Bombyx mori: one gene and its partners. The protein of the gene in region 2 purifies or fractionates together with the protein of the main gene of each other region. This does not show direct contact. Links are inferred from orthologs where the notes say so. Each region holds a gene or a part of one and is shown on either strand. Other genes may lie near its edges. The genes, in order: signal recognition particle receptor beta subunit, membralin and ring finger protein 5.

Region 1 (10,436 bases), on a different chromosome or scaffold from region 2:
CAAAACTTCCAATCCGAGCTCTTGCAGCTTAGAGACCGTTTATTGTGCGTATGAAGTCGAGCGTTGTTGTGTAGGAGCAGGACAAGCGATTGACGTACCTCTCCATCATTGTGTCCAGTTCCTCACAGTCAAAATATTCGCAGTGATGCTGGTGCCATTTGGTAAGAAACTACGAATAGTTATATCAGCACTAGACCACCTTTTTTTTCCTACCTAAGCTGAGAGCCTTGAGAGGCTATATCAGCGTAGCCTTAACTAGAAGGTGAGCTCACGGGGCTCAAACCTGATGACGTTGCTAACACGAACCCTAGCGAGAGCCGTGCTTCGCAGAATCTACCACCGGATCGGAAACGCGAGCCATTGAGAAGATCCGGCGAGAAACTCAGTGGTCTGTGTCTGAGGGTTAATTTACTCGTCGAGCCCTTCGTCGCAAGCGACGGGTTCGACGGGAACGATGACCGGTCTATACAACCAAAAAGATACAATGACCTTTTATTGTAAGTTTTCTTTTGGGGTATTGCCTAGGTGCTGCATCAGGGTCTAACCAACATGATAGCATAAGATTATCAAAAACTTTTTTCGTCATCGCAAGTCACAATGTGTTTCAAAATTCCTTCGTTGCTGTGTCTGTTGAGCAACGCAAGGCATTCCTTAACGCGCGTCCGTCGCGCTGGCGATCTTTCAGTTCGTGCGGCACCCATTTATCAACTTTTTTACATAGCCAATTTGACGCAAATGAATCAATATAGTTTTCATAGTTTTTTTTTTTATTGCTTATGTAGGTGGACGATCTCACAGCCCATCTGGTGTTAAGTTGTTACTGGAGCCCATAGACATCTACGACGTAAATGCGCCACCCACCTTGAGATATCAGTTCTAAGGTCTCAAGTATAGTTACAATTGATACAAGTATAGTTATAGTTGATATGTTGAGTATCGTCAACTTCCACGGTCGCCTTTAATTTGTCGTTGTTGCCTTTACTTTTCGGGTGATAACGGGGTTCTTTTAGATTTCTTTTTATGTCAGAAGTTTTCAAGCCAATAAGTTGTGAGTTCGTTTGCAGTATTCACTCCGTACACGTCATTAAGCCTTTTGTGCGGGATTGTCAAAGCGACGAACTCGTATTCCATAATTACTCAGTTTTTTATCGTATCATTCATTATATTGATGAAAAAGATGTAGTGAAAACAAAACAGTAATCAATAAATAATTACTGAATTTGAAAATGGAACTTAATATGATATCTATACTAATATTATAAAGAGGAAAGATTTGTTTGTTTGTTGGTTTCGAATAGGCTCCGAAACTACTGGACCGATTTGAAAAAATCTTTTTCCATTAGAAGCCGACATTGTCCCTGATGAACATAGGCTACTTTTTTAAATTTTTTTTTAATTTAATTTTTTTGGTTTCATGTGTGTTTTAATGTTTCCGAAGCGAAGCGAGGGCGGGTCGCTAGTTTATAAATAAAAAACTTCATGGAATTTGAAATTTTAGTTTAAAACTACGATGGTGGTTGTCTTGGCAAAGGATTTCATACATAAATTAATTTATGTAAACTTTTTATTACGTATGTTCAAATGTGTATATTACGTTAACATTTTACTTAGTATTACGATTGATCGTATGGGAATGGCGAATTTTGAATTCCAACAGGAATACATAGAAAACTATTGTTTTAGAAAAAAATACATATTTAGCAGAGGATGTAGCAGGGCAGCATGTCCTGAGTTACTTTTAGGTCAATAAACAAACACATTTAAAAAATATAATAGGTAGTTTATTTAATTTGCATATCAAAATACAGTTAAATACAATATTCAATAAGTATCTGCCTATACATACATCATCAGTCTAGCGTTGATACATAATGGTAACGCTCATTTACAATGGAATATTGATGAAGAAAGCATAAAAAAAGCAAAAAAAAAAACAACTTAATTAACATTGCGTCGTTGTCAAACCAAAATCTGCTATGCGCAAATTTTTGTTTGAGATTTTTACTTTTTGACCTTTTCGTATAGTTCACAGCCCTATCTACCGTATAAAAAAAACTGTTATGCGTCTATCTATAGCTTTAATATTTATTTATAGCTTTCATTTGATATAGTGCTTAAAAATACACCTTCATATAAAATTTTATACGAAAATGTTTTTACTCCTTAATCCAAAATAGAGTTTTTGCACATAGCAGATTTTGGTTTGACAGCGACGATATCTCAAATAAACATAAAAAGCAAAATTATTTTCTGAATATGTCTAATTAAACATTTTTAAAATAACAAAACGACACATTAGTGTACCTACTGTGGCTAAAAATGCTGAGTATAGTAGGTAGTGCAAAAAAAATATATGATAATTTCAGTCTACAGCTTCGAGATCCAATCCTGCAGAGGCTTGATGTCAGTCGGATTTTCATCGTCATTCGTGTTGGCCGAGCACTCTGCGAATTCGACTTTATTTCTAATGTGAGAGAATTCGAAATCTTTACCCTCTTTACCTAGGAACGACCCGATGTTGCCTTCAGACGGATCGACGGACTGCAGTTGATTCGATTTGGTCACACGAACTAAATTTCTGCGAATATCGTATCTCAATTAATAACAAATTAAAGGAAAATTAAATTGCCTGCAGAATCGGTTTCTTTAAAGACATGTTAAAGCTCATGAATAACGCCCGTGACTAATGATATCTAGTGTTAATTACATTAGTAAAGGCCAAGGATGACAGAAGAGATACCCACTTTTTTTTTATTGCCCTTGTAAATCTTAAAACTTCGCATTTTTTTGTTAATCTTTTATTGTCCTTATAGGCGGACGAGCACACGGCCCACCTGAAGGTGAGTGGTTACCGTCGCCCATGGACTTCAGCAATGCCAGGGGCAGAGCCAAGCCGCTGCCTACCGCTAATTACTTAATTACTTGTAAAAATAGAAAGCGCGGATAACTTACATTTCTTTTTCGAGTAATCCTTTGATAACTTGGCTTCCTTTTGCTAATGGCTGGTCCTGTTTGTTGCACAATATTAGAAGGGGAGTTGTGTTTCCCTGAATGATCGGATCACACAAGATTGTGTATAGGTATCTGTAAATAATGTGTATATTTTTAGTATTTATATGAGTATCTTTGAATTGGTTGTAAACACATAGACATGATTAATCTCACTCACAGGCAAATTTGGAGCAATGCAGACAATTTAATTTCTGTTGTTGAAATTATTAAATACTGGCCACAAAACTTAATAAATCCTACTAAAAACATTTATTCATTTATTTTTATTAATTGAGATACAATCAAGAAACTGTGGTCACATAAGACCGGTTTCTCAAAACAATACCTTAACTTCTTCAGAGGTAAGAACGAAACTATTAGATGTTGATTTCCAGTAAGTAGTAGTTCAGTGATGATTAATGTTGCTTTATTAATGTGGTTTGGAACAAACAATAAAAAAAATTAGCCCTCTGACATTCACTGCTGTACATAAGCCTCCCCCAAGACGGAGGTGGGGGTGAGGATTATAGTGATAATATGCTGCTATACTCGTGATTAGAATTTAATTCAGAACAAACAACGAATAAAAGTAATTATAAAAAGATGCATTCGCCCAGGCGAATCTCCATATGTAGTGACTTTCATTGAGTGTCTACTGCCTTTACTTACTCTGCTACATCTCTGATTTCTTTCTGTATATTGATAGAATCAATCACAAACACAATTCCCTTAGCACTACTCTTGTGCTGTTCAAAGAATTTATTTCTCAGTCTCTCTTGTCCAGGCAGATCAACTATTTTCAATGTTTTCTGTAATAATAAAAATCCAGTTAGGTAAGTTAATAAAATATTTCTTTTACTCCTTGAAATCATGGACACCAACAATGGGAAACCCATTGCCAATCATAAGACCAGACCACTTTCAATAGGCAACCAAAACAAAACAAACTTAGTTATTATGGATCTTTTTTTTTTTTCCTACCTTAGCTGATAGCCTTAGAGGCTATTTCAGCGTAACCGTGGCTAGTAGGTGAGCTCACGGGGCTCAAACCTGATGACGTTGCTAACACGAACCCTAGCAAGAGCCGTGCTTCGCAGAATCTACCACCGGATCGGAAACACGACCCACTGAGAAGATCCGGCGAGAAACTCAGTGGGCTGTGTCTGAGAGTTAATTTACTCGTCGAGCCCTTCGTCGAGAGCGACGGGTTCGACGAGAACGGTGACCGGTGCTTGAAGTACCTAAAAGCACCATTAGTGGATCGGGAGGATCCGAGATGACGTGTTTTGGGCGACGTCGACTGCTTTCCATTCTGTCCACAGGATCGGGAATGTAGTTACCAGCGGCCACGATGAGAGGGTTCTCGTGTCGTGCCGCTTTATCGAAGTGATGGATCTTCAATAATGAGTCAAAATAATTAATCAATTACTATTTTTGTTAAATTATAATGATTAATATGCTAAATCACTAAATAAAATAATTTCCAATATATATTTCTAACGATTTTCCAATTAAACCACAGTCAAAATTGCAACACATGACATCATGCGTTAGTTTATATATTCATGGTTATCTCGTCGTTCATTTATAGTTTAGTAACCTAAAACTTTAAAATACTTATACAAATACTAACATTAGAAGTTATATACTCTTCAATATTTTCTTTCATAGAAGTAAAAGTCTGTCTGTATTGAGAGTAAGCGAGTCTTACAAACAGCAAAGTCTTGCCAGAGTCTGATAGGCCCATTAACAATACTGAGTTGCGAAGAGTATACCTTCGAGAGAAAATCCACCAAAATACTGAAATAAATTTTTTTATTAAAAATATGATTATTTATAAACTACAGCATTTATATTTAGCCAACAAGTTCTGTTGTAAACATGGTGTTGAACATTTGACCCCAATAGCTTTATGACTGTAAAGCATCATTTTTAAGCTGATTACAACAATTCTACTTTCAAAATTTGTCAAGTGAAAATTCAATATGAAATAAATATTAAGCAAACAAGCCTGTTTTTCTGTTGTTTTCTAAGCAATCGAATAAAAAGTTTTAATAATGCACCCATAAACTACGTAGACAACTTAGTAACCCTACTTATCACTATTATCTGTGAGGTTACTCGAGCCACATATCAGAAAAAATGTGAAGTTAGCATATTGGAAAAATCATCACATCTGTTTACCAGCAAACTAGATTCTAGAGCTGCCCAATGTTGACATTCTGAACTGAGTTAGCCATGCTGCAAATTAACAAGACCTTCCTGTAAAGTCACTAATTACTTGGCAGTGCCTTAGAATGTTTGTAGATAAATAGATTACCCTCCAAAATCACTTTATGGCTTTAAACATTTAACAAACCCCTTAGCACCAAATTACCTATGGCACAATAACTTGAGTTTAAAAATACACAAGCAGAAACGATCTGTGTAGTTAATAAATTCAAAATATCAACTTACTGAGGGTTACTGCTAGAACAATAAGGCTAAGTAAGGTTATGTATCGTGGATCGTTCAGGATCGGTTCTGTATGAATCTTTTCTTTAACCACTTCAGATTCCATTGTAGAGTTCTTTCGCTTCACACTCACTAAGTCACTAAATTAATATGTACTTTAAAAAATTAAACAAAGTGAATGTACTGCTCTAGGGTCTAAAGTTAAGTATAGTCTATGGTCTAGTGTTTCGTGATTTCGTGTATACTACCATAGATTATACACTTAAACTGTATACCATAGATTAGTAGTAGTTTTATTTTCCAATTGGAAAGGCAAAGGTATCATACCATATAGCCTAATCTTTTATATATTTCTTTATATGAAAAATGATTTTATGAAATGAAGTTGATAATATGAAACATGGCATGAAATGAAATGAACTGAAATTAATTAAAATGAAATGAAATCATGTGAAATGAGATGGGATGAAATTATGGAGGGTAGAGGTAAGGAGGCGCCATCTTGTATAGGGGACAAGTTGAAAAAGTGTCGCATCTGTAAACAGCAAATTATAGTTCGAAAATCACCGAATTAGCGCTAGTGTCGCAAGGGGAAATAGTATGAATATAGAAGTTTTAAACTGAGTGTAGTGTGCTGGATTGCAGTGAAGGCTATGTTTCGATTTACACTGCGAGCACTCTTCAGTGCTCTCACTGCTATTCGTTACCTACGTTAAGGACTGACAGTATATAGTCGTAGTAACTTAAGGAATGATTGATGATACATGATGGTGAATGGAACGGAGAAATGATACATGATTTCATAAATCTTCACTTCAGCACTTTTACTGTGCATAACCTCATTTCTATAATACGGTTATTAAGTTATTATAGATGAAATTGCTGGAAAATCAATATTTTCTTTTACTAAAAATATACTTACTTTAAGCGATTAATTAAACTGACAATAACTTGAATATTCTATTTTCAAATATAAATAAATTTAAACAAGATTTTTTTGCTGAAGTGAAAACACCGCTATGACAACGTCGATGACAGTATGCTGTAACTCTTCGATCAACAGTTACTATTGTTGATCGAAGCTGTAACTGTACAGGAACGGCTTGGCTGTATACTAATTTGACGTCACACTTTACAATGCTCGCAGTGCAAATCGGAATAAATATACCAGTCTTTTTTTTTTTTTTTTCACAGGAGAAAATCGCCGGATCCCCACCCGCGTGGCAGGTGGGGTATGTGGGAGTTGAACCTCACTAAAAACTCCTGCCACTCACAACCGGCGCCCTACCTCGGACCGGGCCGGAGCCCAGTCGGGGCTATTGAAACGGCGGGACAGGGTTGACGCAGAGCACATTACATCCATCCCACCGTCCCACGGACGCCGGACCGGCGGCCGCCAGCGACACGACCACCGGTTCCCTCGTTCAGCGGGCCGAGAGCCCGCTTTGATGGCGCCGCGTTACACCTTCCCCCAGAGCGGTCGGGGGATATACCAGAAGTGTAACAGGTTATGGCGCTTAAGTGTAACAGCTAGTGTAACGGCTTATGGACACTTTTTAATATACTGAGATGGTTCTCCTTACGTATAACCTCCAAAGATGAAATATAATCTCAGTAAAATGGTGGTCATTTATGTAGGTACTGAGACTTTTTCAGTGGACTTTTTGGAGGATACCGGAAAGTTACGTCCAGCGGCTTTCATTTTCCCACATTTGTGCACTTTCACAGATATTAAACAGTTAATAAATCACAGTTATTACCCTGTTAGGCTGAACCGCAACCTATTAACTCTAAACATTGACAAAACCAAATTTTTAACATTTGCAAGCAGAAAATCTGTCCAACCCCCGCGTGATTCTATTACTCTCAAGGCCCATGTATGTAATGGACGATATTCCGCATGTAATTGCTCGGAGATTGCTAGGACTGATAATATCAGATACTTGGGGGTGTTGGTGGACAGCTGTTTCAATTGGTATGATCAACTGGAACTTGTGACGACGCGCATTCGAAGCTTAATTTTTATTTTTAAAAAGCTAAGAGGCTCGGCAGATAAGCAAATATTGTTTACCGTATACACTTCCCTTTGAGAGTCGCTTATAACTTATTGCATCCCTATTTGGGGATGTGCCTGCAAGACAAAGTTTATTAATATCGAACGAGCGCAAAGGGCAGTGCTTAAGGTGATGCTTGGGAAGCCTTTTGGGTACTCTACTAGACAACTGTATCGTGACGCAGGAGTGCTGACGGTTAGACAACTGTTTGTCCACAGGTCCGTTCTGCGACAGCACTCCTGCCTCCCATCAATACCTAAAGAAACTTCACTTTCCACGAGACGAAAACCGGCCTTTGACACTATTGCTTGTAGGACGGAATTTGCCAGACGACAGATTTATTCGTCAGGTAGCAGAATTTATAATAAAGTAAATATATCTCAGCAGATAGATGGCTTAAATAGGTATGACGTTAAAAATAATCTGAAGTCTTGGCTCTTAAACTTAGACTATTTTGAAACAGAACAAGTCGTGTTGTAAAAATGTATAATGATGTATATATAGTATGATATACTGTTGATTCATTGTAGCTAATTTTAAATTAATATTTTATATAATAATATATAATATAATATATAATAATATTTTTATACTTTATTGTATGACACACATACACACACAAACACACTAACACACATACACTCACACACACACACACACGTACGTACTATATTCTTACAGATCGTTCTTCCTGGTTAACTTTCTTTACCTGGTGACCTAGCACTGAACCACTGACTTTTGTAACACAGGTTTTCCTAGCATAAAAGTCAGGGAATATTGTTATTGTATACCTCATAAAAAAAGCCATGTATAGTGAGGGGTAGATCTCAGGGGTATTTAAAACTATGGGTTAGTCACCAATATCGAATTTCGAATTTTAATCTTCCTTTATCACAAACAATTTCAATTTTAAACAATAATTACATTTAGACGCGGGCGCACGCTATTCACACTCAAAACGGAAGCGCCCGGAACATAGATTATACACTGTTGAAAAGATTGACATAGATGCTAACTATGTATAGCGAGCGGGCATACGGCCGCGAGAGTGACGTACCGGTCGGTTTGCTACATACTCCCCCTCTAGTCCTGGAGGACGCCCTCGCTCCTGGACTAGCATCTCATTACTACTGGGCTGAGGGACAGGCGCAAGACCAACCATACCACCAGCTGCGGGAGAAAGACGTGGAGCTTCAGCACATGGTTCAGCATGCCGTGTCGTCATATGCCCTGGAACTCGAGAATCTGTTTTAACATTCTTTGGGGGACGACCACGTTTCTTTTTAGGCATCTCCGGCCGCGGAAGAGCATCACTCTGATTCTCACGGTATAGAGTGAGATCGTTCACATGATATTTCCCTAAAACTTCATCAGGTTTGTCAACATGCGCGACGTGGTAAGTAGTAGGGCTGACCTTTTTAACGATGCGATACGGACCATCGCGTTTTGGAACAAACTTAGAAGTAAGGCTCTTAGCGCTCTTACTGAGGACGTGTGATTTGATGAGAACCATGTCACCTTCGTTGAATGTTTCAATGGGCCGTCTCGAACGATCAGCATACCCTTTAGCTTTATCTTGAAGCGTCTCTACACGTTCGCGCACCGCTGAAAAGGAGTTAACAAATTTCCTGAGATAGGGAGTTATTTGGGGAACAAAGTTATCTTTGTCTAGAACAGCACGAAGGTCATGGGTGACTTCTGTGGGGGACCTCATCTCTCTGCCAAATGACAAGTAAGCAGGTGACATACCTGTGGTGCGACATTTAGCGTTATTAAGAGCGAACCGAATCACTGGTAACATGTTTGGCCAGGAAGTGTGGTCATATTCCACGAGTTGTGCTAATAAAGTCTTAAGATCTCTGTTTTTGCGTTCGGCGGGGTTTGCTTCTGGGTGATAGAGAGGGATAAGGTTTTGCTTTATCTCCAGGATGGACATGCATTGACGCATGACTGCCGAAATAAATTGTACGCCATTATCAGAAACTAGTCGGCGTGGAAGACCGAACCTCATAAAATACTCCTCTATGAGGACATGTGCACACGCCTCAGCAGTAGCTTCCTTCAATGGGAAAAGTTCTGTCCACCTCGTAGCAGTATCTTCTATTAGCAAGATCCAACGCTCCCCCTGTTTTCCAGGTGGTAACGGGCCGAAAAGATCAACTGCCAAGACCTCGTTGCGCTGGTTCATCACCGGCGTCTGCAATAGACCTGGAGGCTTGGTATTAGCAGCCTTATAGCGTTGACAATGGATACATGCCTTTACATAGTCGGTTATGATTCTTCTCATTCCTGTGAAGTAGAACAGACGTGAGACTTGTTGGTAAGTCCGGTCAATTCCTGCATGTCCAGCGGTAGGGGCATCGTGAAGCTCTTTGAGAACGTCGGTCACTTGATGGGCAGGAATGACTAATTGTGGGGCCTCGGCATCAGAATCCGGATTAAGTCGATATAAAACACCTTGTTCCATTAGAAATCCTCTTTCTGACCATCTTTTAGCAGCAAGTTCATCCACTCCTTCCAGTTCTGTGACGATCTTCTGTATTTCCGGATCAGTCAACTGGTCTTGACGTAACTGGGTAGGTGACTTGGTGGGCAGGTCGCAAATGACAGAACAGATGCCGCAGTTATTTTGTGTTTCGTTGGAACAGATCGGTCTACTTAACGTGTCAGCGACAACGTTAGCTTTTCCTGGGGTGTACTCGAATCTGATGTCAAATTTTTGGAGTTTAAGCGCCCAACGGACCAACCTACCAGCAGGAGACTTTAAAGAAAGCAACCAACGCAAGGGTTGGTGGTCACTGCCTATAATAATTGGTTGGCCGTCGAGGTATGGCCTGAAACGCTCCACGGCCCAGACTACAGCAAGCGCTTCCCGTTCTGTAGTAGAGTAGTTGCGCTCCGCTGCGGTGAGTAGGCGGCTAGCATACTCGATAGGCC
Region 2 (9,757 bases):
GGAATTGTATCGACATAAGTAGACCGCGTTGGACGGTTAAAGTTGGAGTGTTTATTTCGGAGGCAAAGACTCGATTGGGTTACTGAACTTAAAGGTTTCTTAAATAAAACTAAAATGCTCGTTATTTAAATGTATACCGAAATGTGGTTGCAGCCTATTCGCTAGCTCGGCCCGATCAAATTAAAAACGTTACCTAATGAAGGATTGTGATTTTTTGCCCGGATTTGAAAAAAAAAAGGCGCGTCGCCCTATAGACTGAATCAATTATTGCGTTACGTTGACTCGGTGGCGGCGCTCTGTAATTCGATCCGTCGGTAAATGTTGATCTGACCACGGCACGTCCAGCGCTATTGGTGCCCTCTCACGCCCAACTCACTGATCCACTTTTCCACATTAACTCTGTACCCGGTTATCAGATTACGCCTCATGTGGACTGTGAAAATTTCATTGCGGAGCACGAGAGGCACGCCTTAATGCGATGTCGATACCGTCGCGCGCTATAATCAACTTGTCTTTTACGATCGAATTTCGAGAGTACAACAAAACAAACAATATATATTAAAATTATGTATAAGCCGATAACGAGGTGAGTTTCTTGTCGAGAACGAAGCAAATTTTAGAAGTACGGAGCCCAAAGCAGATTGTGCTAATTAACCTCTTGAACGTCTCTTAACGATCGACTTCCACTCGGAGGGGGTTATTCTGGAAAATGCGGCCTATTGCCTGAATTTATAATCCGTGATAATAAAGTTAATCCTTCAATTATAAGTTATTAAGATATTTGAAAATAAGTGTAAGTGTTAAGAACAGTGTCAATGTACATTTTCACAAAAAATCGTTAGTATCAGACACGCTTACTTTTTTTCAGATGCATGATATTGATTTTATAGTAAAAAAGATCCTTTTACTTAAAATGGTTTTTTTTTGACTGGAGATTTTCTCAGTCAGAAACTGTAATCTATTAAGGATGGTTAAGAAGCGAATAGTAGGGGAATGGTGTTAAATTTTTCTATAATCGCGTTTGATGCACTAACATATCCCTCATCCTTTCTCGTCGAATTTCCTATAGCGAATAGTCTAGGATAATTTCTAAAGACTACAATTCGCTAGATCTCTATTGAACTCTATTGAGAAAATGTATTGATATTGATAATACTCTATTGATATTCGATATGAAACATTTGCGGAGATGAGACGATATGAACGTACCATGTCAAAGAAATAATTTTCTGTTTAGCGGAACGTTAAGTTAGAATAGTTTTCTTCATAACTTAACGTGAAATTCATTTAGTTTCCCGCATAACGCGCACTAACATCATAATGGAAATTGAAGTAACTGGAAAGTGTTTGCTCTTTTAATCTGATTAAAAAGCGCTAGCGGCCCATCGTAATTATTACATTCAGTGTACTGAAATTAAATGGAGCGGTAACACTGAGTGCTTAAGAAGAAACATGAGCGACCGGTAACAGCTATTAATTATACTGTACAGGTCACGCTAAGGTTTAATTTTATGGGTCCAAGTCATTGAATCACTCCCTTAGGATCTGGATCATTAAGTGGGTAAATGGTTAATGAAAATAGAATGAGCACTAAACATCGAAGCGGAATTTCGCCAGTCACCTAGCCGTCGTTAAACGTTGTTATCGTCGCGATTAAGTAACAAAACAACTTGGCTCGGAGGCGTTGCGGGGGGCTGCAGTGCGGGGCGCGGGCCACGTCGCGAATAATAATCTCACTTTACGACAGCACCCGAGTGAATCAATAAAAACACTAATAAATGCACAGACGTAATCCGGATCCTGCAACGTGGCGATTACCGGCACTAACGAGATCGTAAAGACGGATCTTCGATGCAAGGCGAGGATTACGCAAAATGTAACTCGCTGAATGCCGAATGGACTTAGGGCTGTTGTGAGCTGCTTTGTTGAACACGACTGATGTACATGTGCAGAGATTAACACAACTGATTTGCTTCAAAATGTAGAGTAAATGTAGACAGTCGAAACGTTTACCTTTGTACGGCTATCATAATATAAAAACTCAACAAATATTACAAAAACACCTTGAGTAAACCTAAAATGCCGCACTGGATCCATTATTCTCAATTTGCACCAAGTCGTAGGAAGGGTACAGTTGCGCCGCCAAGCTCTGCGGGTGTCCCCCTTGATTAAACTGAGGAAGTAAGAACTAACAATTTGTGTGCATTTCTTCCACTGATTACAAGTTTGACTAGCACGGAACGGATGCATCAGAAATCGCATTTATTACTGTCATATATACCATGTAATATGTATTATATAATTTGACAATAAATCCAAATAATCAAAGCAGCCCTTAAACTTTTAATGTCGCCTAAAACGTCACTGTTTGAAAAACGACAAATCTAGTTTCATAACTCACATAAATATTCATATTATATCGTATTGTTAGTAAAAATCTGTAACCAAGTATTTATACAGTATCTGTACTAATATTATAAAGCTGAAGAGTTTGTTTGTTTGAACGCGCTGATCTCAGGTACTACTGGTCCGATTTGAAAAAAATCTTTCAGTGTTAGATAGCCCATTTACTGAGGAAGGCTGTGTAAGATCACGCTAAGACCAATACAAACGGAGCACCAATAAAGAATGTTTCAAAATCGGTTTTTTTTTCTTTCTACGTAAATGAAGTCGCAGGTAAAATTTAGCGTTATGCCAAAGTAACTATTCCACGCGGATGAAGTCGCGGGCAAAAAATAGTTTATAATAAAGATTTCATTGACATTCATTGGTTAAAAAAAACTTTAAAAAGTTATTAGTTTAGTAGAGTATTAGTAGTTATTAGTAGAGTGCGTAGACAATCAATGTTTGTTTGTATAAAATCATGTTGGTAACATCAAGGATAGCAGACAGACATTATTTTTCAATTATTATTTTCCTTTTTATTAACGTCCTTTGGCCTAGAACGCTCATAGCATCACTCGACTCTACCTGTGGGTGTCGTAAACGGCTACTTTTTTTTTTTTCTTCCTACCTTAGCTGATAGCCTTGAGAGGCTATTTCAGCTTCGTCCTAACGTTTGTAGGTGAGCTCACGGGGCTCAACCGGAGAGTTGCTAACACTGACCCTAGCAAGAGCAGTGCTTCGCAGAATCTACCACCGGATCGGAAACGCGACCCACTGAGAAGATCCGGCGAGAAACTCAGTGGGCTGTGTCTATGGGTTAGTTCGCTCGTCGAGCCCTTCGTCGCAAGCGACGGGTTCGACGAGGACGGTGACCGGTGGCTACTAAGGGATTGACTGAAGCACGGGCAGTAGTATTCTCAGCATTATACCAGCGTTTAGCTCGAAACAGACTAAGCTTGCAGTAATTGTTGTATTTTTTAGTTTGGCCATATTGAGATCTCGAAAATAATTATTATCTTTAAAACCACTGCCGCTCATTCTAACTAACCAGCTTAAATTGGTCTAATCTAGTGTATGTAAAAATACAGTCAAAATTCTTAAATTAATAATTTCGTGAAACAACTCACACCTATAATTGCTTGGACGTACTTTAAAATAAACTTATTTTATGTGTATAAAATATTAAATTATTAAAATCTATTTACCAAGTTTTTCGTGAAAAAGTAACAAACATTATTTGCCACATTTACTTTATTTATTCACATTTATCCATCGAAATTATTTATCCTTCCATTCTACAAACTTTTGCATCTATAATATTAGCATATTTTGATTAAGAAGATTTACCTACGATACATCAATTACTTTATTAGTATTCGCTTGTAACAACAGAGAAGCGACTCATGTTATTACGAAATCATAATACAAATTTTTATTGCTTTTTGAAACCACTTCCATATCAACCGTTCGTCTTTACAATTTATATTGCAGAATATTGACTTAAATTGTGAATAATATTAAAAAAAAATTTATTCATAATTTGTTGATTCCCGTAGAAAGTTTTTTTTTGATTGTACACTGCTGATACATCCGCGGATCACCTGTAGTTTGTATTTCCGGTTCGCGAATTGGTATTGACACTTTCTAACTTATCACAGAGCGCTACTTTATGTATGTGAATGTAGTTAAATTTATATCTACTTTTTGTAATAATAGTTTTGTCAAGTAAAGAAAAAAACTAATCCGTATATTTATCGTAGAACTAGCTGACCCATCAGACTTCGTAGTGGCTCAATCGATAAATAAAAGACCTAAACTTTTGTATAAAATAAACTTAAAACAAACAAAAAGAATCCGTCCGACGGGGGACACATCAAAGGGAAAACAAAAAGCATTTTCATATTTATCTACCTTTTAAACCTTCTCTGGACTTCCACAAATATGTAATTCAAGACCAAAATTAACCAAATCGGTTCAGCCGTTCTCGAGTTTTAGCGAAACTAACGAACAGCAATTCATTTTTATATATATAAGATATACATTTATTCCGTACAATAAATTGAATTCTGCAGCAAACGATAAGTGAGAAGAGCAAAAACAATATTTCATTATGCCGTCTTATGTACGTAAATACTGCACTGTTTCAATAATTTCTCACTGATTCCGTTTCCGATGGAGGCAGCGCGTGCCTGTCGCCCATCTTCGGTGATCTTCGCGTAGTGCCGGAATTAAAATTAATAGAGGACCGTCGGCGTCACGTCCACGGTCCGACCCGGCCCGGGTAATTTGTTTACTCGTCTTGCTCGGGATTACGTCGCATGCTCCGTTGAATAGGTAACTGCCGGTGACTTTTTGCAAGTGCCAGCGAAGACTCCACTGTGCTCCTAAACCTAGTGCTTATTAATTTAGAATCATCGAAAAAAAAGGTCACAATAAAATTGAAACAATATTCGTTAAGACTTTTTTTGCTAATAATCATAAGCATATTGGATATTAATAGCGATTATGAAACTTTATTAGTACCACAAAATTAATATCAATCTTACGTTTCCAAGTCGTCGTGGCCTAAAAGATAAGACGTCCGATGCATTCGTATCTAGCGATGCAAAGGTGTTCAAGTCCTGAAGGCGGGTATCAATTTTTCTAATGACATACGTGCTTAACAAATGTTCACGATTCACTTCCACGGTGTAGGAATAACATCGTGTAATAAAAATGAAACCCGCAAAATTATAATTTGCGTAATTACTGGTGGTAGGACCTCTTGTGAGGCCGCACGGTTAGGTACCACCGCCCTGCCTATTTCTGCCGTGAAGCAGTAATGCGTTTCGGTTTGAAGGGTGAGGCAGCCGTTGTAACTATACTCAGACCTTAGAACTTATATCTCAAGGTGGGTGCCGCATTTACGTTGTAGTTGTTTATGCTCTAGTAACTACTTAACACCAGGTGGGCTGTGAGTTCGTCCACCCATCTAAGCAATAAAAAAAAGAAGTCTTATAAGTTCAATTATACGTTAAGTCGAGACGAAGTATAGACGTCACCATGTTATAACTCGGAGCAAGAGTTAATTGAGCGACACGGTTATGAATAGATTCGGTTAAACGTTGCCGGGTCGAGTGGCGGGCGGTTGCCGGACTTCCGATAGTCCCCTAACGTGTTTATTGTATCAGTGTCGGGCCTCATCAAAATGCAAATAAGGCACGCCCTGCCCGCGACGCCGGACAGTTGTCCGCCTTCTATTGAGTTATATTCCTACGTCTGATGGCCTATTGTTTCGTATTATTCGTGTCTACCATATCGAAATGTTTGCCAATATTACCCGAAATTTAATCCTCAACTTAGAAATTTCTACATCCAAGCACGTACTTGAGCTTTCAAATGTCTCGAGACGAAATTCCCAATCTCCTTACGTTTTCAAGTTGAAGACACTTGGTCCTGATAAAGCTGCTTAAATGAATTGCCTCGTCGTAGTGCTGCGAGACCGATGCATGTGTGCGGTTAATAAGCTCGTGGCGGGTGCGCTCAGGTTTCGGTCGTTAACGTGTAATTGTTGGCACCTAATTAGTTCGACACCCGACGACTCGTCTCTGGTGTCGCTGTCACATATGACCCGCGATACTTAATGTGACAACGAATTTCGTGTTAACCTCGACCGTGGGCTAGCCGTGCGGCGTGTGCTGTGCGGTGTACTTGATTAGTATGTGGTTATAACGACGGAGGGAAAATCTTCCACCGAGCGGGTGATATTGCTGGGTAGACCGACGGTCCGAATCTCGTTCTGCGAAACTTGTATATATGCACGCTTATGTGAAAAATTTCGTAAGCGTGATTCAGGCGTCTGTTAATTGTCTTGTATTGTATGATGGCTACCCGGCACAAGTATTTAAACCGTAACTAAAGGCTCAAAATAGTTTACTCGATCAGTAAGCTCTTTTGAGCCTCGAAAGACTTTATGAGTGCATGTTGCAGCGAGCTTGCAGTAAGCTCAGTCGGGGTGGTCTCGCATCTTACCCATTTCTGTCGCAAAAACGTTACGCGTCCTATTTGAAAAGGGTCCGATAGCAGTTTTTCTAATATTATTTCGATTTGAACCTCTTATTGCGAAATGGGCATCGCGAAGCGTCTTTCGATTCCCATGAGTTCCGTATATAGACCGTAAGCTAGTCTGCCTATCTACTCCATTAAAATGCAAGTTTCTAAAAATTGTTAACACCTAAAAATGTTTTGTATCTGCAGATTTGATTTTACCTTTTTAAGATTTTATTAAAAAAAAATGGAACGATCAAAACACTAAAGCAGCATTATTTTATGATATTTTTGCAAACGGAGAATACAGCCGGATTATGTATCCATCTTGAGATGGAAGTGTATAATAATTCTATCGTTTCAATGAATCTCGGGCTCAGACATCGTTAAGAGCCCTCGTATTTGTAAAATAGTCGAAGAAGTACTTCTGATTTGAAAATATTTCAATAATTTATTTTTAGATCATAAGTAGTAGTATTATGCGCTTATGAAGGAATCGTAGCTGGAGAAAGCAAACTGAATATATATTTTTTTCTTTCTACAGGAATGGAAGCCATAATGTCAGAGTTTTTCAACGATACCACAACAGCATTTTACATCATCTTGATCGTTTGGATAGCTGATCAGTACGACGCGATCTGCTGTCACACCGCCATAGCGAAACGGCATTGGTTAAGGTAAGTCATTTAAGGTCTCATTCAAGTCTCTCAGGCGAATAGCAAAAGATTCAACTGATAAATTCGATTTTTTTCCTACCTATTCGCTAGTAGCCTAAGGTGCTATTCCAGCTAGGCCCGGATAGGTAGGTGAGCTCACGGGCTCAACCCTTTTTTTTTTTCGGGCCGAATGTCGAACCTCCTACAAGGTCCCCGCGTGAGGTCCCATAATTGAGTGACTATAATTATCATTCCGTTCATATAATATATTTTTATTACACGACAGTTTATGTTTTTAATTTTCTTACGTCATATTTATCGAGTTGGGAAAAGACCAATTCATTACTAGTTTTGCTCGTGGTCCGATCTCACGTTACATTCTTAATCAAAAGGCGACTGAGTACGAAGCAATTTGGCTGGTCGTCCGCGAGGGCAATAAGGAGGAACGCTATTAAAACAAGCGCAAATAAAGCAAATTGAAAACGGCACCGCTGCCCCCTCGCAACGAGAGGGCTAGTTCCACCCCTCCTGTCCTCTTGGCGTCCTGTAAAAACAACGCCCCTAACGTCTCGAAATACCTCTTGATACGAACGAATTCTAGATTTAAATCCGGTGTAAAATTCTAGCATTTTTTTTTGAAAACTACACAACCACTTTTCCAATGACTTGTAAATAAATAATATTAATTTTAAATAACGTAGGTGAGCAGACGAGTTCACGACCTGATGTTCGTGTCCATAAGAATGAAACTGTCAATGCTGCGGCCCACCTTGAAACGTAAAGTCGATGACCTTATTGCATTACAATAACGGCTATTTTGTCTTTCAAAGCGAAATACACGCTTGTTTAACGGCATGAATAAAAAGGATAATATGTAATCAAACCGGCATTCAATTTTTAAATTAATTCAAAGTATATAAAATATGTTAGTTTACTGAATATTTTTCGAATAGATAATTTTGAGTTGAATCTACTCTTTTGTGTCCACGAACACTTTGAACTAACTCTCTTTGAATACTTTGAATACCAAACGTGATTTTAAATTTTCTTTTAAAATAATATGTCGAACCAACGTCGACGTCGCCGCTTTCTTTGTCAATTTAATTTCATCTGCGTTATCTTTTATAACTCTAGCGTACTCTACGATCCTTTGTACGGCGTTCGCTTGAGTAATCGTGTAATAAGAATATAAAAAAATATGCAATTTTCCGCTTACTTGAAGACGCTGGTTTACTGCAAAAAGGAGATCACGTATTTCATAATGTTGTTCAAATCGTAACGTTGTGATGTATTAATAACAGTAGAGCTCGCTGGAAACTTTAAAAGAAATATCTGGCCACTGTAATAATTTTATACTAGTAATTCTTGACGGGTCGTGATCGAGCTTAAAAGCGTAGCTTCCCGACTAAGCGACTGATAAGAAATCTTGTTTATTTGCCATACTAATGAATGATAATCATCGAGAGATTAATAATTGTGTCAACTTCTGATAAATCTTATGATGCGTTAATTTTTTTGTTGGTTCGATCGGATTCTATCGGATGCCGGACATTAAAAGCAATATACTTACGTATTTAGTTGTGAAATAATTCTTCTATATGACATACATTACAAATTAACTAATTTATAAATTCAAACAGCTGATACCGCTGGTGACATGTTGTGTACCAGAACGTGTCACTGTCACCAGCTTTCTTATGTTTGCCTTGAAACAACTATGCATTGTGTATTAAATAGTAGGATATCAATAAATTAAAATATAAATACAGATACATACATACAAATAATATACTTTGTACCCCTTTTTACGAAAATAGCACGGACGGAGGAGTATGAAATTTGCCACATTTATAGAAAATATAGAGAAGGAGTGCAGATTGCTAATTTTTATTAAAATTATACATAAAAAATGCATTAAATCAATAAAAAAAATAATTACACACACTACCGTGTATTTGACACACACATGCATGCATACTATTTGTTTATGTTCAAACTTTTCTTATTGCTTATAGTCTGTGGTTAAATTGAGAATAGATTAAATATTGTTTGTCTTTATTAATATTTGTCTAAAGTGTAGTCTTGGCAGATTCGGTGATTAAAGAAGTATAATAATAGTCTTTGAAAATAGAATCATAATTGTGTACAAACTTATAATTTCACTTAATTATAGTCGAATTTCGGCTACCGGGGGACCACTAGTAATACTAATTCCATGATTTCCAAAGTCGTTTTAGTTGATCACGAAATTATGTTACCGCAAATAATTAGGTTTTACACAAAATCGACCCACGAAAGCTATATCGTAACACTTCGCTAATGTGTTAATAAGTTTTGGGCGATGTTTGGTAAGGGTTGACCGTCGGAGTGATGCGGTGGGTCGGCGGCGATGCGGTCGCGGCGTAGTGACGAGCTCCCCGCATAAATCTCGGCGACCGCCAATTAAGGTTCGACCCGACAGTTTGTCTACGATGCCGCCCTGATTGCTATTACCCCGCTACATGTGTATACACTGTTCGACAGATTGTAACTTCGGTGGCTGGATTAGTACTATATATTTGGACGAGTCACAAATATAAATACGTAGACAAAAGTAATTACGTGACTTGAATACTTTTGAACTTATTGAAAATTAATTTTGTAGCCAGCGATACGTTTTTGATACGATGGAATTCAATTTAAAGCTACTT
Region 3 (10,397 bases), on a different chromosome or scaffold from region 2:
AGTTATATTTTACTGGTGGTAGGACCTCTTGTGAGTCCGCGCGGGTAGGTACCACTACCCCGCCTATTTCTGCCGTGAAGCAGTAATGCTTCATGCATGCTAAGTTTCGGTTTGAAGGGTAGGGTAGCCGTTAGAACTATACTTGAGACCTTAGAAGTTATATCTCAAGGTGGGTGGCGCGTTTACATTGTAGATGTTTATGGACTACAGTAACCACTTAACACCAGGTGGGCTGTAAGCTCGTCCACCCATCTAAGCAATAAAAAAAAGTTTTAATTCAGTCAATCAGTGCTTTCACGACATTTTTCCTTGGGCGTACACAGGCACGATATAGAATAATCTGGTAACGGGTGTTTGAGAGACCACGCGGCAGTTCGAGTGTACGGGCCCGGGTAACCGCTTGCACGAGATGGGTCATCGCTCTCAAGTTGAACCCGTGAGTATTCAATCGAGCCGAGATTTGTAATTGTTGTTGACATTTAACATAAACTTTCTGCCTCAGTACCAAGTTAGCTATCTGCTATCTTATATATCTTCAAAATTTTTTATTTTTTTATTGTATAGGTAGGTGGACGAGCTCACGGCCCGCCTGCTGTCAAGTGGTAACCGCAGCCCATAGTCAACTACAAAGTAAATGCCGCCACCCACCTTGAGTTAAGAGTTCTAATGTCTCAATTTTTAAAGTACAACTGCTGCCCTACCCTTCGAACCGAAACGCATGACTGCTTCACACCAGAAATAAACAGGGTGGTGGTACCTAGGACTCACAAGAGATCCTACCACCAGTAAAAAGATGGCAGATGCAAGTTGTACTGAGGTCGTTATTATTCTTTTAATATATTATAATTTTTTTTAAATTACGTCATCCGTAGTCTGGAATACTAAAATATTCGACTTGGGATTCAGAAATCAATAAAAGTCGAAATCAAACCTTTAGACTTCATTTTTATAATGCTTATGTACATACTGTAAAATTTTAAGAAAAACGTCCTTAATAAATTATTTTATTTTATTTATTACAATAAAATGAACCTTCCCATTAAAATTTATGTACTTACAGCAAATACAATAACACAATAATAATATATACACGTTATATACACGAAAATATTATAATAACCACAGATTGAACACGCAATACTTCAAAATATAGCGCAAATGTAGTTAATTAAATTACTGGCGTGATTAAATTCATTTTTGAAACCGTTAGACCTTTTTACTGTTTCCTAAACTTACTACATACTACTGTTTTTCAGGAGGTAATTTTCAGCGTTTCCACCAAAATACTTTTTTACGATCTACCACCATCTTTGGTACCACCCCCGCGCCAATTTGTGATGAGCAGCCATCAGCCCACCACACCACGAAGGCAACATCCCCACGGATGCCAAGCCGACCTCATTGAACTCACCATGAAGTTGTGGTGCCCAAAACTTTCCTTCGAATGCGTCAATTTAACAATTTCCAACAATTTTAGAAAATTACCTTCTGATACAAACATCAATGCACGTTAATTTTAACATTAAAATAAATTACATAATATGTATTTTATTATTATGAACTTTTAAAGGTTATCATAAAAAAAGGAATGTTGGTTCAATAGGAAAAAATACCAGGAATAATATTAGATTAGAACAGTGTACATACTTATTGCGAGTTTTTTTCCCCGAGCGGGAAACGAAGGGACTTTTTCAACTTCATACAAATTTGAGTTAACTTTTACGCATCGAGAACGTTAAAAAACTCGCACTAAGCATACAGAATGGCGACAGTCCAATGATGTTTTATTTTTTAAATTTGTGTTTGAAAAATGTGTACGGAGTTGAGAGCACTGTGCCGTGAACCTGCACGTTTCCAAAACAATACTCATATTGAGCACAGGTGAGCTTTACGGTATGTCATAGTCCTGGTTAGTGGATATTTATCGACATTACAACATTTGTGATGTCATTCTAACAGGCGTTCTGGTGGTGTTTTTTCTTATTTCATTTCTATGCGTCCACCTCACAAGCCACTCGGCGTTTAGTGCTCATCGGCGCTCACGGACGCCACTCGATTGCTGCTCGAGGCGTGAGGTCGAGCTCTCGAATTGTTTCGTGTTTGAACTGAACGCGATATTGAGCCGTAAATATTTTCGTTCACTCGTCAAACCTCAGAAATTAAATGATTTCTTTAAGCCAGTCAGAGTTTTTACGTAGCGGTTGTTATCTAACTAAAAACACCGAAATATATTTGATTTTTTTCTCAATAATCAGTTGATTGTGTTATTTAAATATTTAAAACTTCATTTATTCGTTTGGTTGCTACAGTGACTAGCTTTAGTGTTAACATTATGTTTTGTTATTTCTGACGTTTATAATACTCGTAATAATTTTTGTTCTACGTATTTTTATTTAACGCAATGTTAAAAACTGTGGGAAATATTCTGTATTCAAAACGGCGCAATTAATGAAATCAAATGATGAGATACGTGAGACTAAACCGTAGGTAAATTGTAAATGTTTTCATTTCGCACGGCTCGCGAATATCCAAGAACATACGGAATATTTACATAAATGTTTTCGCTTTTCAGTTCTAGTCCAGATCCGCGCCGCATTTAATACTCGCACAGAAATATCATCGCATAAAAAATATTTCGAACTAAAATGTGTAGGTATGTACCACATCAAGGGTTTTTGATCTTTTTCCCTTCATTTGGTTTTTTTTTTTTTTTTTTTTTTATTGCCCTTGTAGGCAGACGAGCATACGGCCCACCTGATGGTGAGTGGTTACCGTCGCCCATGGACTTCAGCAATGCCAGGGGCAGAACCAAGCCGCTGCCTTTAGTGTAATGGCAAAAAATAAAAAAGTTTACTGTTGATAGCCACATTCAAATTGGCGGTTGCTGATGGTGACACGCTATTGCTCTTTTTTAATTTGACAAAAAAAAAATGTAACAAATTCCCAGATATCGTTCTCATCACATAAATATACAGATAAAAGGTTCGGTGTCTTTAATTAAATAACCACGACTTGATCTGTCACTGTCAACAAAACACTACCGTAGTCACAAGAATCAATTTTGAAAAGAACTTTTCAAGTATCCTTCTATTAAATAAATGTTTACAGAGTTAATTAGTATTGTAACCTGGTGGCAGTACTTGTGGGCGGTCAGGCGAACACCAGCCACAGCACGAACAGGATAGCGACCCACAGGAATATCTTCGATAGGAACTGCTCTTCTTCGAACTGGGCCGTACCGCGCGGCGCTGCGGACCAAACTGACACTCTACATCCGGCCTAGGGGTGGAGGACCCGCCGGGCCATCCTTCCCCCCCACCCCACCTCAACACTCGGTACTCACCCCTACCGACTCTAACTGCACAGCCAGAGGCGGACGGGTCTGGCATAAATTAATCTATACATATAAATAAAATTGGAGTGTGTGTGATTGTAATATTGAAATAACCACTTTCTACTACATACATATGAATACATACGGGTACATACACCAAAATAACATTTTTTACAATTATTGTCCGTTCCGGCTAATCTGTCCGTCAAAAACGGCTGGACCGATTTTGACTGATAGGTAGCTGATGATATAAGGAGTAATTTAGGCTCCTTGTTTAGACTAGCTTCGTCCCGTGGCGTCACTCGCGGTACGACAATAACCATATATCAATAATAAAATTTAATATTTTCGAAACGAAGCGAGAGCGGGTCGCTAGTCTATCATAAAACTAAAAAATAATATAGAATCTATTAAAAACCCAATAATGCGTCATTAGTGTTGGATGTACCTAAGAGAACCAATATATATGGAGTCGACTCTCTTGGACCCCCAACTACACCTTCCATTGTCAAATGTTGATGTAAAATTTCAATGAACTTCGTGTGTTCTCAGGGCAGATCAAAAGAGCTCATATTTAAAGGTAGGGAAATACTTATAACAAATATACAAACCGGCGCTAGGCCTTGGATCACCAAAATTAAATGTCGAGGTGAAAATTCCAAACGGGAAGGCTCCTATCCCGAACGACATGTGGAATCCCTCGCCGAAGCCGAAACCTGGGAAGCCGCTCGTACTCTCCGGCTCCGTGCGCTGTCCTGCCGGCCGGGGGGGCACCTGCGCACAATACACGTCCAGGCTTTATTCCTGCTCTGATAACAATACCTCTGAGTTGGGCAAAACCAAACTTTATATGAGCAGCAATCACTGATCAGTGGACCACAGGGTCCACTTGGTTTTAGATGCCTGTCAGTCTATATCACCAAGTAAGTGCCACGGACCACACTAAAGTGAGGTGAATGTATCAATACTATACTCAATAGTCACATATCTGGGCATGAAGTTAAGGTCTCAATTATATTGCTTCCAGCATTTTAATCGCCCTGCAACACTGCTTTGTAGCATAAGGGATACGACGGTAATACCAACTTGTGTGGGCTCTTATTACGCCCAACCACCAGTAATGATGCAAATCATAAAAATGTGCGGATTTCATTTTTATCATACAATGTTAAGTATAGTCTTCAATATATAAATAATTAATGCTAGGATTTTTTTATCGGGTTGATTAGAACATTGGCATAATTGATTCAAATAAAATAGGAGTGATAAGCTTTAAGTTAATTTACAAAAAAAAAGTATTTCTTCACTAGTTTCAAAAGCTAACAAAATACGCTTTTATAGAAAATCCAACTAAAAATAGAAAATAAATTTTAATAAATTTGAATTAAAAATAGTGTAAGAAAAAATGATTTTATTGTAAAAAAGCATGGGGTGCTTTTCAGGATATTATCAAAATAACCCTTCTACTCATATCTGTTCATAAAATATTTATAACTACTTGAACTAGTCGTTAAGCCGACGTTTTTAAGGTCAAAATCATGTTCAGAGATTCCGTTACTCACTAACATACATACATCTGAAGTTTAAAAAAGTTTCATCTGAAGTTAAAAAAGTTTCAACTGTGTTGTTGTTGACAATATTATGCTTCAGAAGTATAGAAACAACAAAAGTGGTTTCTATAATTTTACATTATTTTTTTTGTATTACTTACCTTGTTTCTTGGGTCTTCCTGCTTTGTGTTTCCTCTTCCATAGAGCGGGATCACTTTCTCTCTGCTGATGGCAGCCTTGCAAACAGGACAGACTTGCCGACTGGGTCTGGTTTCCAACCATTGATGTAAACATGGCCAGCTGCATTGTAAACAATATACCATCATAGTCTCTTTGAAAAACACTAGTGCGCAATGAGTAGCAAGTGAACACAAGATATGGTTAAACTCAGACCTTGCATTATAAATCATATTATATAATCTCATAAAATATGCAAAGGTTCTCTAACAATTTAACAAGTTCAAGTTTTCTCTGTTGCCAATCAGCTGACTTCATTTCTCCCATTGAATTCATTTGGCATGAACGACTGGGAGGGTAAAAAATTGTTCACCAACAAACTCAATGTTTTGAAATTATTGGAAAGTAAGTGGAAAAAGCTGAATAAAGAATATTTCAGGAAATTTATTTTGCCTAGAGATATGTGTGAAGATAATTAAAAAAACACGAGGGACATTTCAATGAGGCTAAAGTTTAAATAGGTAAATATTGATATTGTATGTTAAATTCTTATTTGGTTTAGTTTTTAATTTTACTATTTTTTATTAGACTTAACTATGTTTGTTTCTAAACAGTGTTGTGTTTTTAAGTAGCTCCAAATATATAATATTATTTTAAACTTTTATATGATAGTGTATATGAAATTTATTTTACAATACAGTATTTTCATAAGCATAAATTTTTTTTTATGTACTGATTAACAGTAATATAACAGTTTATGTTGAACAAGTTCTTATCTAGAAATTCAGTAACTTTTCTGTTATAGTAGGTAAACTAAGCCAGCTAAACTGATCTGAGCCCCTGTCTAAAGAGTGTGCATCACTATGGTCCAATAATTGGCCCTACCAGCTTGAGGACGCTTTACCAGTAGATAAAAAGCTGTATTTACTTTTTACAATATAGGAAAATTTATTTTATAGCCTTCTTTGGCTCTCCTTGACAAAACAAAACTATAGTCTTGAGAGACCCTGACTATCAAATCAATCAAATCTGAGAAAACATCAGAGGGCTGATGCTAAAGAGAAAAAGCATTCAATTTTCAAATGTACATATTGTATGCCACCACCTTCTTGAGAGACCATGGCTCTACTAATCTATTTAATGTAAATCCTGATTTTAAAGATCTGTTTTAATATAGAATTAATTTTGATTAAAATAAATTGTCTTTTAACATTTTTAATAAATCAATAAATAGATAGATACAATTATGTTGTAGCACAAAGCACAGCTGTTCCCATTCATAGTTCATTCCATTCAGTGTATTGATTTTACTGCATTACAAGGTCAATGGTAAGTAATGAGAATGAATAATAATGAGCATAGTTTAATGCAAATTATTCAAATGATATTTTACCTTTTCAATAGTTGTGAATATTCATAAAAAATCTTTCAGCCATTAGATTTAAATCTAATTATTTACTGTATTAATTACGACAATGAGCTCACCAGAAGAGGTGGCCGCACATACTGACGACTGCATCACGGGCTGTGTCCAGACAGATGTTGCATTCTAGCATTCTTTCGTCATGTTTGTCTTCTTCGCCACCAGCGTCGCCCCCAGGCGCCGAGGGGCTCGCTCGCGCTTGACTAGTCTCCGCCATTTCCCTACATTACGAAATATTTAATAATCACAACTTGACATTCTTTTTTGGAACTGAAATTTTCAATTTATGAAGCGTTATCACGATACTGGTGTAGTGACGTTCGCTTGGATGTTATTGTGACACGACAAAATATATTCAAATTATAAATTTATAACAAGTTATTGTTTGCAGAGAAAGGTCAATAACAATACAACACTTGCCACTTTAAATTTGATGTTTGAGTTTATTATTTCATATAGAAACTTGTTAATAAATAAATAAATCACATTTCCAATCCCGTGGTATGCTGATTGCTGATCTGTCAGTAGATGTCATTCAGCGTCAAAAAATCTTGATTGTCAATTGTCAGCTGTAAGGACAAGGGTCCCATGACAGTCGATGTTTATGGAAAATATTGGAACTCGCAGTACATATCTTTATCTTTTCTACAGTATACGATATCTGATATGGGAAGTAATTACAAAAAAGCGATTAGGATTTATTTTATTTCAATTATTTTTTAAATAAGGAAAGATTTGTAATTATTTATTTCGTACCTTTACCAATGAATGGAAAATTATTAAAATTATGCCTCTTTAAAAATAGAAGTATATTTCTAACACTAGGTAATACTAAATTAACCCTTAAGATCAGATGAGTTGGTTGTATAATAGAGTTATCTAATTATCTAGGGTAGGCCACACGCTGGTGTTTACACGCACTTTTTATTTATGTTGTCATAATTACTAAAACAGTACGAGTACATTTTGAAAACAAGATAAAAAACCACTTATTAGGTATATTAGTTTAATCAAATATAAAATTACTGAAAAAATTATGTTTTCATGAAAATTAGTTTCATTTAAGTATATCATAAAATATTTCAAAACACCTATGCATAAATTGTTATTCATATCTACGAAATGAAATTAAATGAAACGGGTTGAGAAGGGATGAAATCTCAATAGAATGGTGGTTATTTACGGAAACTTTTTCAGTCTACTTTTTAAAAGAACCCAAGAAGCTACGTCCAGCAACTTTGTTTCATTTTCCTACATTTGTGCACGTTAACAGAGGATAAACAGTTAATAAATCTTCTTTATTATACATTTAAACATGAAGAAACGTTAACACAAACACAATTCTATTCGCGCTCCCGTCAAAAACTACTCAAGAATTAATTTTGACCAACCAAAGACATTTTTTTTTGGTACAATTTTTCCTTAGGCCTATACAACCTTGTCATTTTTAAAAAAAGCCGAGCCCTTATATGATTTATATTATGTCCTGAAATAAAAAAATCATTACGGCCGAAGCCAAGTCCTTTAAAATTTCTTCCTGAAATAAATTTTTTAATAAGGCCGCAGCCAAGTCTTGTATTATTCCAATCCTGGTACCAACCAAAGACAATAATAATCACTACATACCGTAAACAACCATTAATCTTTACTCTTTGCTATTAATCAATGAAATCAACGAGAACCAAAAGGAAAATGGTTGAACGATCGCTACTCTTAGCACCCATTCGCCGATAGAGAGAAATCCAGTTTTAAAACAATATCGTAATTCTTTATTTAAAACGTCTAATAGATAGTTTTGACTCTAAAAGTAAGTTTTTTTGAAATGAAGTGCAAAATATGTTGAAAAACAAGTGACGTCACGTCAAGAATCAGCTGAGGTGCGAGGGAAGTTCTTCTTAAAGGTGGTGGTAGAAAAGAATCATTAAAAATGGGAGGTGCAGTGAGTTCAGGGCGTGATAATAATGAGTTGATTGACAACCTGATGAGAGGCAAATACATCCGTTCCGCGGAAGTGGAGAACGTATTCCGGGCACTCGATCGTGCCGATTACATGTCTTCAGAAGTACGGGATCAGGCGTATAAGGACCTTGCCTGGAGGAATGGATCTCTGCATATGTCAGCACCGTGTATTTACAGGTATGTTGAAGGTGGTGGAAAAACATTGTATTTATTTTCCTTTGTAATCAGAAATTAATAATTACTTTGGATTATTAAGTGCTGATGCAAGTCTAGTAATAATAACAAAGATACAGCAAAACAAAAAAATACACGAAATAAAATAAAAATTCATTACAATACAAATTGTTAACAGCCATATTGTATGTAACTTAAACTTATCAGAATGTTTATCATGCTTGACCTGTATCTATTTATATATGTTTATAACAATATTTCAACATAATTTTCACTAAGTCGTCACTTTGACCAATATGACACACTTGATCAAAGATAATATAATAATTTGAGTACTTTGTCGAAATATCTTAACTCAAATAACCAGAATAGAAAAAAACAAATTTTGTATTTGTTTTTTTTCTTAGTTTGATTAGCTTTAATGTTCGTTTATTTTTCAAATTTGAGCTACATACTTACATGGATTGTTGTATAAATAATTTATAATATTACATTATGTTTGTTAAATATCTGCCAGAAATGGCTTATGATTATACTATTACATATACTATTATAAGTAATTTGGAATGCAATAAATGAACTATCTCTCTGTATTGTGATAATTAGTAATCTTTTATATCTTCAGTGAAGTAATGGAAGCCCTAGAACTGAAAACAGGCTTAACTTTCCTGAACGTCGGCTCTGGGACAGGTTACTTGAACACCTTGGTTGGTCTGATAATTGGAACCTCCGGCATAAATCACGGCATAGAAGTAAATTCTTTTGTCGTAGACTATTCCAACAAGAAACTTTCACATTTCATTGAGAACTCTCCAACTTTAGATGAATTTGACTTTTGCGAACCAAAGTTCTTTTGTGGTAAGTCTTTTTAATATTTGGTTGTTTGTTTATATGAACTGTTGCAATAAATGGTGGTTGATTTTTATACGTTTACATATGGTACACAAACCGCGTTATAATGATCTTCTTGTTGCATGATATACGTTTAATCGTGTGAAAATGTCTGATTTAGTTACAATTAATCGTCATTTGTGAGAAGTGCTGTTTTTCCTTTTTCATTTGAAGAAAATTGCTCTGACTGAAATAATTGTGTTGTGAAGTTGTAACGATTCATGACCATCTGCATTAGGGAAAGCCAAAAATCTTCAAGGACTCTGAATTAGAGGAATTGCTTGATGGAGATCTGTGTCAATCAAAGTTCAGCTTACTTCAGCATTAAGAGTAACAGGCCAAGTCGTTTCCAAGCAATTGCACGTGTTGCGAATGATACAAAAGCACTGATCTTTGGTTCCTGAGTTGAAGACAAGAACTCTAGGGTGTTGTTTTTTCGTCCGTGAACAAACATGTGCTCCAAACATTTAAAAAGAAGGATTTTGTTCATGGTATCGTGAAAGATGATGAAAAATGGATTCAATGTGAAAAATTGAAGCAACCTAAAGAAAACTTGGGAACTACTGATGTTTCTATATCGTTAGCTTTACCGAATATTCACAATAAGGCTACGCTGTGTATTTGGTGGGAACAATTGTTTATTATGAGCTTTTGGAACCAAATGAAAACATCACTGGGGAATAGAATCGAAGTTAATGTGATTAAACTGAGCACTGCATGAAAAATGGTAACAATCCACCAGAGCTATAGTAAAATGATTCTCCTGGAAGCCATCACTTAGCCTCATGTTGCCAACCCCATTGAAGCCTACTTGAAATGTTCAAATAAGACATATTACTCTTCCCCCCGTATTCCGCAGATAGTGCACCATACTATTATTATTTATTTC

The links.
Region 1: the proteins of membralin (region 2) and signal recognition particle receptor beta subunit purify together in Homo sapiens (affinity purification with mass spectrometry; 3 studies listed by BioGRID and IntAct, counting the BioPlex papers as one, with this or other methods). This does not show direct contact. The link is inferred for Bombyx mori from reciprocal best matches to the Homo sapiens genes TMEM259 and SRPRB.
Region 3: the proteins of membralin (region 2) and ring finger protein 5 purify together in Homo sapiens (affinity purification with mass spectrometry; 3 studies listed by BioGRID and IntAct, counting the BioPlex papers as one, with this or other methods). This does not show direct contact. The link is inferred for Bombyx mori from reciprocal best matches to the Homo sapiens genes TMEM259 and RNF185.

Annotation. Positions count from the first base shown.
Region 1 is NC_085114.1:6,491,485-6,501,920, reverse strand, and holds signal recognition particle receptor beta subunit, read right to left. Parts: upstream 5,938-10,436; 5' UTR 5,552-5,937; coding exon 5,449-5,551; intron 4,792-5,448; coding exon 4,625-4,791; intron 3,801-4,624; coding exon 3,661-3,800; intron 3,085-3,660; coding exon 2,953-3,084; intron 2,579-2,952; coding exon 2,368-2,578; coding exon of another isoform or gene 2,356-2,367; 3' UTR 2,354-2,355; coding exon of another isoform or gene 2,284-2,353; 3' UTR 2,282-2,283; coding exon of another isoform or gene 2,281-2,281; 3' UTR 1,760-2,280; downstream 1-1,759. UniProt on the Homo sapiens protein: Component of the signal recognition particle (SRP) complex receptor (SR). Ensures, in conjunction with the SRP complex, the correct targeting of the nascent secretory proteins to the endoplasmic reticulum membrane system.
Region 2 is NC_085125.1:6,090,205-6,099,961, reverse strand, and holds part of membralin, read left to right. Parts: intron 1-6,955; coding exon 6,956-7,088; intron 7,089-9,757. UniProt on the Homo sapiens protein: May have a role in the ERAD pathway required for clearance of misfolded proteins in the endoplasmic reticulum (ER). Promotes survival of motor neurons, probably by protecting against ER stress.
Region 3 is NC_085116.1:17,090,399-17,100,795, forward strand, and holds ring finger protein 5, read right to left. Parts: upstream 6,983-10,397; 5' UTR 6,905-6,982; intron 6,706-6,904; 5' UTR 6,702-6,705; coding exon 6,547-6,701; intron 5,185-6,546; coding exon 5,046-5,184; intron 4,109-5,045; coding exon 3,946-4,108; intron 3,249-3,945; coding exon 3,151-3,248; 3' UTR 2,721-3,150; downstream 1-2,720. Other genes in the region: protein IWS1 homolog, read left to right, coding at 8,412-8,620, 9,243-9,475. UniProt on the Homo sapiens protein: E3 ubiquitin-protein ligase that regulates selective mitochondrial autophagy by mediating 'Lys-63'-linked polyubiquitination of BNIP1.